Linked DNA regions of Nothobranchius furzeri. The protein of the gene in region 1 purifies or fractionates together with the protein of each later gene. This does not show direct contact. Links are inferred from orthologs where the notes say so. Each region holds a gene or a part of one and is shown on either strand. Other genes may lie near its edges. The genes, in order: RNA-binding protein MEX3B and AP-1 complex subunit beta-1.

Region 1 (4,496 bases):
CTTAAAACATTATTTTTGTCCTCAATTCTGAATTACCGACTCACCCCAAAGTCAACACCCGGATGCAACTAATGCTAGGAAACGTATCATAAACGTGACACCGCATTGGCTGTCCTTCGTGAATAGTCCCGCCTTTAAAAGGCTCCCATTGGTCAGCTACAGACTGTAACGAGTGCTGGGGAGATCACGTGGTCTACGCTCAAAGACGTGAAAGCAGAACTCGGCTTCCTTTTTTAAAACAATTTCCAACGTGGCTGATACAAAGCCAGTTAACTGAATTGCGTTACTCCATGTATTAACTTAAAATTGTTGTACATATTTACATAATATGTTACAAAAAAGTTAGATTCAGACAACAAACAATTTAAAAATACTCATTTTGTATGTGTCGGGGCATTTTGCATATAAAAGAACTTACCTGTTGCTTGGTAAACAGGAAAAAAATGAACAACAATAAAACAATAATTGGTAATTGAAATGAGTCTGTTTTAAGTCTGTTTTGAATGCTTGTACATATTGTAAGTGAGAATGGTCTGTCGTCTTTATGTCTAATTGTTTATCTTATTTTTGTCTTGTATTTTTTTTATCTTATCTGTTTTTCTTTGATGTACAGCTAACTATGTCTCTTCTGCTGCTGCCTCTTGGCCAGATCATCGTCGTAAATGACTGAGTTCTCAATCGACTCATCTGGAAAAATACATGTTAAATAAAATAAAATAAACAAATATGGTTTGCTTTCAAACTTAAGTTGAAATAGACTAGATTTTCTTTGCTAGATTTTCATTTTCTATAAACTTGGGATATGATCCACACCATTGGAACACCATTTCTTGATACACTATGTAAACATTTGATTAAATTATAATATGGTCCAGATGAACACCATCATATGAAATCAGCTACACAAAACTATTTTGTGGCAACATAGCGGATGCAAGAAAGAAAGAACGAAAGAAAGAAAGTAAGTAAGTAAGCAATCTTTTATATAGGAAATCACTTATTTCTAATATTGGCAATCAATGAAAATCATATAAATGACAGCTGGCAGAATGTCAAACAAGTGCTAATCTATTGTCTGTGTTTGCATGTGTGATATGTGATGACCTAAATAAAAAAAAATCTGCAAGAAGAATTTATTATTTTTTTCATAGTTAAGTAGGCTTAACGGGGTTAACTCTTTGTTTTTTTTGTGGATCATCGTGCATCTTATTATATGCCCTTAAATAATTATACATTGTTAATTGCTTTTGATCACTTTTATTTCAATGTTGTTTCTGATGGCTTTTCATAACCTTTCATTCGTTTTTGCTCATGTATTTGTATAATATCTATGATATATATTTACATACAGTAATTTTACCAGATACAAAATAACGAGATTAGATTGTGTGAATTACAAAAAAATATAGACTAATCGTCAAACGCACCACACTCCAGTCGCAGAAACCGATGACCATACTGACCTTAAAACGAAGTCTCGCGTGATCAGGAACGAGATTACAGTGTAGGGGAGGGCTGCATGGAGAGCTGAAAAGACAAAACAAAAGCCACACATTTCAGGCGCTGGTCGCTTATTTTATTTTTTATTAACCGAAACAAATTCCATTCGCGACTCATACCAGTTTCAGTTTAGTTGCCATATTTTGTACATTTTTGCATGATGCCTAGTAGCACATCTTTGCTGGAGGCCGATGAGGGAGAGTCCGAGGTCCCACCGCCGCTAGTGCACGCTTTCGCCGGTATGGGCCTTGAGGAGCACCACTGCACCCAAAGCCAAACCACCGAACAGGCAGACGAGAGTATCTCATTCCCACACCACCATCAGCGCCCGTCGGTTTCTCATTTCAGCCTCCTTGATACGGTCCTCGACTTGAAGCCTTTGCCACTGCATCAGCCACCTTCGGGAGATGAAGCGAACAAAACGAAAGAAGAAGAGCTGGAAGAGGCAGCGGCCGATTCCCCGGGCTGCACCGGGAGTTCGTTGTTGGCGAAGGCCCACCGCCATCCACACCTCCATTCGGGGCCAAGTAGCTCCGTGTTGCCGTCTGCAATGGAGCCTCCGCATACCGATACGGTATTATTGTACAACGGAGAGGAGCGTGACGATGGCGGGGTCGCCGGCAGCGCCTTACCTCCGGCTAGCAGCATGGTGATGCTACCATCCGGCGTTTACGGCGATGCGGGTTACGAGGCCGAGCCTTCGCTTCTGACTCAGCGGAAGAGTATCAACACAACCGAGTGTGTGGCCGTGCCGAGCTCCGAGCACGTCGCCGAAATTGTGGGCAGGCAAGGTGAGCGTTTTTCTAAAAGAAATTAGCTAACTTGTGACCCAACGTCTAGCTTTTAAACGTGCGCGTGGACGGAATTGGGTCAAGTCGGGGTAAGTAAACACAATAAAATCATCACAGGTTCGAAAATTGAAATTCTCCCTTCTATTAAGCACCGTTTGTTTGACAGTTATCTCAATTTTTTGCTGTGAGGGCAGTCAGGAATCCCCTAGCCGTGCCTTGTGCTAAACCAGGGTTGTCTTTGTCTCGCAGTAGCACATAAAGAGCACTGTTGGTCACCATTGCTGTGCCACATCAGCTGGAGCCTCCAGATCAACTCCTTATGGTTAATTTTCTTCTCATTAGGTCAGCCGAACCCGTCCCCTTTAATAGACATCCATATCTGGGCTTTCACACAAAGTTTCCACGGGCTGGATGGAGCAGGGAGAGTGTTGTTATGTAGTGTTTCAGAGCAGTTGGGGGAGGGTGTTGACAACAACAGGAAATGGCTCTGGTAATGATGTTGGACTCTCGACCACTGCTAAAAGGAATATTTAATTCACAACATGACCAACTTGTAAATGGAATAAACGATTGAATGTTTGATTGCACTATGTTTGAAACAAAGAGGCACATTAAACCACCCTGTTGGTTACATGTTGGAAACAAAGAAATGGCAAAGTATACCACTTTTTAAAAAGTTGTCTGGAGGAAAGACAAGAGCAGCAGAAATGAATATAAAGGAGATAAAAAACACCAACAATTCATGAGGTTTTTTAATGCAGGGGCATTTCTGCGCTCGCCTTTTCTCAAATGACCAAAACTCAAGAAAAAAACATAACATTTGAGTTTTTGTAGTTGAAATAAAAAAAATCAAGTTAATTTAATTTTTAAATTTCCACTACTGTCAACCTTTTTTACTCAAAAGACCAAATGAGTTAAAACACACTTGTCAAGTGTTTTTTTTAAATACGGAACTTAAAAAAATATCATTTTGTACTCAAAACGGCATGTGTAGTGAAAAAATGATTCAAAGAGACATCAACTGCATGCTTTGATAATGCTAAAGGTCACACTTTATATTCAAGTGCTGCAATCTAAGATTAAATGCTAGCCAAATGGCTTCTGATCCACTTTATTTCTTCTCCAAACCCTTTATTTGGCCTTTTGACTTGGATAATTTTGGACCGCAGCTGTGTGAAGCTTTGTTTTCAGCACAAACAACAAGCCAATATGCACTTGCACTGTAGTTATGTTGCTTTTGTTTGCAAAATTCAGAGTATGAGTGTCATTAAAAATAGCTGGTCTGGATGAGTCCAACTGGTTATTAATAAATGTCTGTGTCACTAATGTGGCATCAGACATGCTTCAACCTTTTCTTGTTTCTTTTTTGAAATCTTCCCTCCACCAGGCTGTAAGATCAAGGCCCTTCGAGCCAAGACGAACACCTACATAAAGACGCCAGTGAGGGGGGAGCAGCCGGTCTTTGTCGTGACGGGACGTAAAGAAGACGTGGCCATGGCAAAGAGGGAGATCCTTTCTGCGGCTGATCACTTCTCCCTTATCAGAGCGTCTCGAAACAAAACTGGGCCTCTGTCTGCCGTGAACACTTTAGGGACCCCTGCTCTACCCGGACAGACGACTATTCAGGTTGGCAAGCTGCATGAATGAATCATGTTGTTATTCCTGGATGCTCTTTTACAGTGAATCACATTAAGGGCTGTTGTTATGGCAACTGCACAGTTCTACACTGTCATCAAAGCATTTTATTTCAAAAGGAAGGTTTGTGTAAGTGTTATTTCCACCCCAACAGGTGCGGGTGCCTTATCGTGTTGTTGGATTGGTTGTGGGTCCCAAAGGTGAGTCTTTTTGTCTATTTTGAACTGATGATGAGACTTTTGGGGCTGATTTTTACTTTTTTTTTTTTGTTTGTTTTGGGTTTTTTCTCTCCTCATTTTTAGACTTAAAGGTTTTACAAAGATCTGGATGGAGTTAGACAGGAGTTTAGTCTTGAGCTCTTTAGCCATGTGAGTGACCAGAACAGCCGGCAGTTAGAAGATGTAATTATTGCACAGCTGCAGTTCTTTAGTCAGATTTTATTATTGTTGTTCTGTTACAGGAAATGTAGATGGCTGTGAATTTTTGTGCTTTTGCCTGTGATCTGCAGATCTTTTTTTTTCCTAATGTAATCATTTGGCATGTTCCTAAATCGTAATTTGTAAGAATGTA
Region 2 (4,258 bases), on another chromosome or scaffold:
TCCTGCAGCTAAAGCAAAGGGACTGGAGATCTCCGGAACCTTCTCTCGTCGTCAGGGACACATGTACATGGACATGTCTTTCACCAACAAGGCTCTGCAGCACATGAATGATTTTGCAATCCAGTTCAACAAGAATAGGTTAATGACAAAAAAATCCTACCTGCTGCTCTGATTTCAGTCAGAAACTCACAGCTGGAGACACACTCATTTGGTTTATTTCTTTCCTGTAGTTTTGGGATGATCCCCACCAGCCCTCTTCCTATTCACACTCCGCTGATGCCCAATCAAAGTATCGACGCCTCTCTTCCTCTGAACACCATCGGACCTGTAATGAAGATGGATCCTCTCAATAATCTACAGGTACAGAACCAAGAGCTAACTGAGCAGTAAGCGTTTTTTTTTTTTTTGTGAGGGCTTCAAAACGTTTTGAGTGTTCTCAGTCTCCTCTTATGAGCCAATGATTGTGTGACTCTGAAAATACTCACAAATTTTGAAGAAGAAACAATCTTTTAGAGAGCCTCAAGATAAAAATCACGAGGTACTTAAAAAAATACAAAAGATTAAAAAAATGAGAAAAGTGAAAGAAAATTTGAGATAAAAAAAAATGTGAGGAAAGGGAAAGAGACGACAAATAACAAGAAAGGTCATCCATGGAAACCAGTAAAGGCAGAATTGGTAAAAAGACCTGAATGAGAAGGTAGTGATGAAGAATTAACAGGTCACACAAATCCAGCCTGAACAGGTTAGTTTTCAGCTGCTTTTTAAAGGAGACCACTGAGTCCACTGATCTCAGGCTCAGAAGGGAGAGAGTTCCAGAGTCTGGGGGCCACAGCAGCAAAAGATCTGTCACCTTTGGTCTTTAGCCTGGTGCTGCACAACCAGTAGGCTTTGATCACTGGACCTCAGGGACCTGCTGGGGGTGTAGGGACTAAGAAGATCCCCAATGTAAGATGGTGCTTGCTGGTGAAATGTGATTTCTCAAAATAATCCGGATCATCACGAGTGTTTGGAACTCTCCTCGGTCAGGAAGTAACAGAAATGTGAGCCAACTTTGATCATATGTTCTATGTCAGCGTTTAGTGAGAGAGTAGCTTTGATTCTTCACTGCTGTCTTTTATTATGGTTTCATTAAAACTGTAAAACAGTCTGGTGCTGTCTAAATACCTGCTTCTGCCCTTTCTGTGAACAGGTGGCAGTGAAGAACAACATTGACGTGTTCTACTTCAGCGTTCTCATCCCTCTCAACATATTCTTCGTTGAGGATGGAAAAATGGGTATGTTAGATAACAGAACATTCAGAAGCAACAATAAATATCAGTCTAGTAGTAAATGTCTTTTTTTATATTACAAGAATCTCATTGCCTAATTGTGAAGATCAGTTATATTCATAGTTTTTGTCATGTTAAAAACCAAATTCCAATAATGTTTATGTTTACGAATTCTGCAGAGCGACAGGTGTTCTTGGCTACCTGGAAGGACATCCCCAATGAGAACGAGCTTCAGTACCAGATAAAAGAATGTCACCTAAACGCAGGTGGGCAACTTCTTCAGAACCTCCACCCGGTCGCTGTCTCTGGTTTTGATGCCTGATTTGTCACATCTTCTACCAGCTCCATCAAAGAGATGACCTCTTCTTGTGTGTTCTCACATGCCTCTTTGGATTCCTCTATTTCTTTTTGCTTGTAACTAACCTTTCTTCACATTCTTTCCCTAAATTTTTCCCTGCAGCTGATCTGTGCAACCCTGAGCCACTGCTGAAAAACTTTACTGAAATCTGAAGGTTCTAATCAGAGTTTATTAAAACCCTGACATAGACGTAGCTGCGTCTTTAGCAGTAGGATTGTTATCATTCATCTACATGTTAGCGTTGGTAGCTGTAGCGATTACTGCCTCCCTGTAACATAGTGTCATACAAAGAGGCGTTTTCCTAACATGGAGTGGTGTTGATTCTGGCCTTGCAGACACAGTATCAGGGAAGCTGCAGAATAACAACATCTACACCATCGCTAAAAGAAACGTAGAAGGCCAGGACATGCTCTACCAGTCCCTGAAGCTAACCAACGGCATCTGGATCTTGGCTGAGCTCCGCATTCAGCCTGGGAATCCCAATTACACGGTGGGTTGTAGAAAAGGTCACGCTGTGTTGAATTCTGGGTATTTTTGTTCGTAATCCACCTGCACTGAGGATGTTGATGCTAACCCAAATGATCATATTGCTAAACTTCTCTCGTCACTTGTAAAACAGATTCTGAAACTCTTAAGAAAACATCTGAAGGCTGGTAGATTTTAAGTGTTCATAGTGTGTATTGAGTAAGTGTGCTTTTTAAATGCTGCAATTAACAATCCCCTTTAAAGAGCTCAAAGTAAATCTTACTAAAAGAAAAACATTAAATTTCTTACAACAGATAAATGTCTACTTGTGTGGTCAGACCCGCTATTCACAAACCTTTTTGAACAGATTCAGAAAACAGCTCAGATATATGATCATTGGAATGTAGTAATAGTTTCCTTTATGATCATTTAAAGGAGAACTTCGGATTATTCTTTTTTTTATGGCACCATCTAGTGGCTGACAAATGAATTGCACTAATTCATGTTTTTACTTCCTTGTTCACGGCCAAAAGCAACGCTTTTCGTTCATAAATGCACTCCTCAAGCTGACCAAACAGCTAGAAAACATTGTTTTGCTATTATTATGCTCATATCATGTTGTGCATTAATATATTTATAGTTTAAAGACTTACTTGTACATGAGAAAGGTAGCCAACTCTGCGTCAGCCAAAGTAGGTCCTCAAACGCACAAGCACGTTCTGTGTCTGTACGCAAGTGGTAGCCCAGGGCTGTTGGTTAATGCTGACTGGAGCTCAGTTCATATTGCTTGGAGCTCTACGGGACGGGGGAGTGGGCTTAGCAAAAACTAACATATTGCCTTTACGGATTTCTAAAAAATCTTACATAATTCCTGAACTAGGAATACTCCATATTGCAGCTTTTGTTTTATAAAATTAGAAACAAACCAATAATTTTTACCAGTAATAAAACCTTTTAAACGTGTGTGGAGGTTTTTTTATAAAACACAGCACCTGTTCTGTTTTTACAGCTGTCCCTTAAGTGTCGGGCCCCTGAGGTGTCTCAGTATGTCTACCAGATGTACGACTCCATACTGAAGAACTGACCTGACCGAGACTCTCCTTCACCCTGGCAACAACCTTCAGTGTTTCTTCATTTTCTCTTATCTGCAGCTGATTGCCACAGCAAAAAAAAAAAATAAATAAATAAAAAATCCAAGCAGATAATAAATGATCAAAAATATTTGATGTACACCCCCCAAGATACTTGTAGGGTAAAAATCAGTCAATACAGTTTGATTGGAAGTGATTTGTAGTTGAAACAGTTTTATCCCTTTTTCTGGCAGTTAAAAACAGTCTCCATCGCTTTGATTACACTCCTTATTTGTGTTTACTTCTCTGTGAAACCTTGCTAACATTCCATTCTTAACTAGGTATCTTAATGTTGTGAGTGATGTCGAAACAGTTTCAGTTAATGAAGCCATTTTCTTTGTTTTGTGATCTGTTTTATTTTAAAAGTTTATTTTTTAAACTGGCTTTACTTCAGCCGAACCTCCACAAAGACGCCAGTGTTCCCTTTTGCCATTATTGTGTGAGGATGTCTGCAAACTGAAGCTACCGCTGTTTTTTTTATTCCCTGTCATGATTTAAACCCACAGCATGTTTAGTAGATTTACCCAAATATGTGCTGCATTTATTTGCCAACAGTACCTTTATTTTCTGTAACGGTATAAGAATAATTCATGAAAACATTCAGACATTTTTAAAAAACAAGTGACGTAAGAGCTGTAAGTAACTCTGGTGAAATTTTAGATTTTGGTGTTTACTTTTTGTGTTTCGTTTGAAACGGAGATGCATGCATAAAAAATAATCACTTCTTCATGCTGGTTGTAGCTGCAGCTTTTTTCATCTTTCATCAAGTGTTATTTAACTCATTATTGCATATAAAAGCACATAAATGCAAATGAAAGACAAATATTAGATTATTCCTAAAGGAAAATCCTAAACATCTGCAGAACCCAGTTAAACAGCTTCTAGTGACCAATATGACTGATTGCCAGCTGTTGTGTTGAAACACCCATTCCACTCCATTTTACTTAAAACCCTGTCTTATCGCCCTGTTTACTGCAACTGTAGTTGTTTTCTCATGGCTTTATTCACTTATCATTCCTATTTATTTGCATCTACCT

What was found.
Region 2: the proteins of RNA-binding protein MEX3B (region 1) and AP-1 complex subunit beta-1 purify together in Homo sapiens (affinity purification with mass spectrometry; 4 studies listed by BioGRID and IntAct, with this or other methods). This does not show direct contact. The link is inferred for Nothobranchius furzeri from reciprocal best matches to the Homo sapiens genes MEX3C and AP2B1.

The regions. Positions count from the first base shown.
Region 1 is NC_091757.1:48,917,870-48,922,365, reverse strand, and holds the start of RNA-binding protein MEX3B, read left to right. Parts: upstream 1-1,493; 5' UTR 1,494-1,657; coding exon 1,658-2,291; intron 2,292-3,678; coding exon 3,679-3,917; intron 3,918-4,080; coding exon 4,081-4,126; intron 4,127-4,496. UniProt on the Homo sapiens protein: E3 ubiquitin ligase responsible for the post-transcriptional regulation of common HLA-A allotypes. Binds to the 3' UTR of HLA-A2 mRNA, and regulates its levels by promoting mRNA decay.
Region 2 is NC_091750.1:66,902,996-66,907,253, forward strand, and holds the end of AP-1 complex subunit beta-1, read left to right. Parts: coding exon 1-138; intron 139-230; coding exon 231-360; intron 361-1,189; coding exon 1,190-1,274; intron 1,275-1,447; coding exon 1,448-1,534; intron 1,535-1,961; coding exon 1,962-2,116; intron 2,117-3,100; coding exon 3,101-3,175; 3' UTR 3,176-3,591; downstream 3,592-4,258. UniProt on the Homo sapiens protein: Component of the adaptor protein complex 2 (AP-2). Adaptor protein complexes function in protein transport via transport vesicles in different membrane traffic pathways.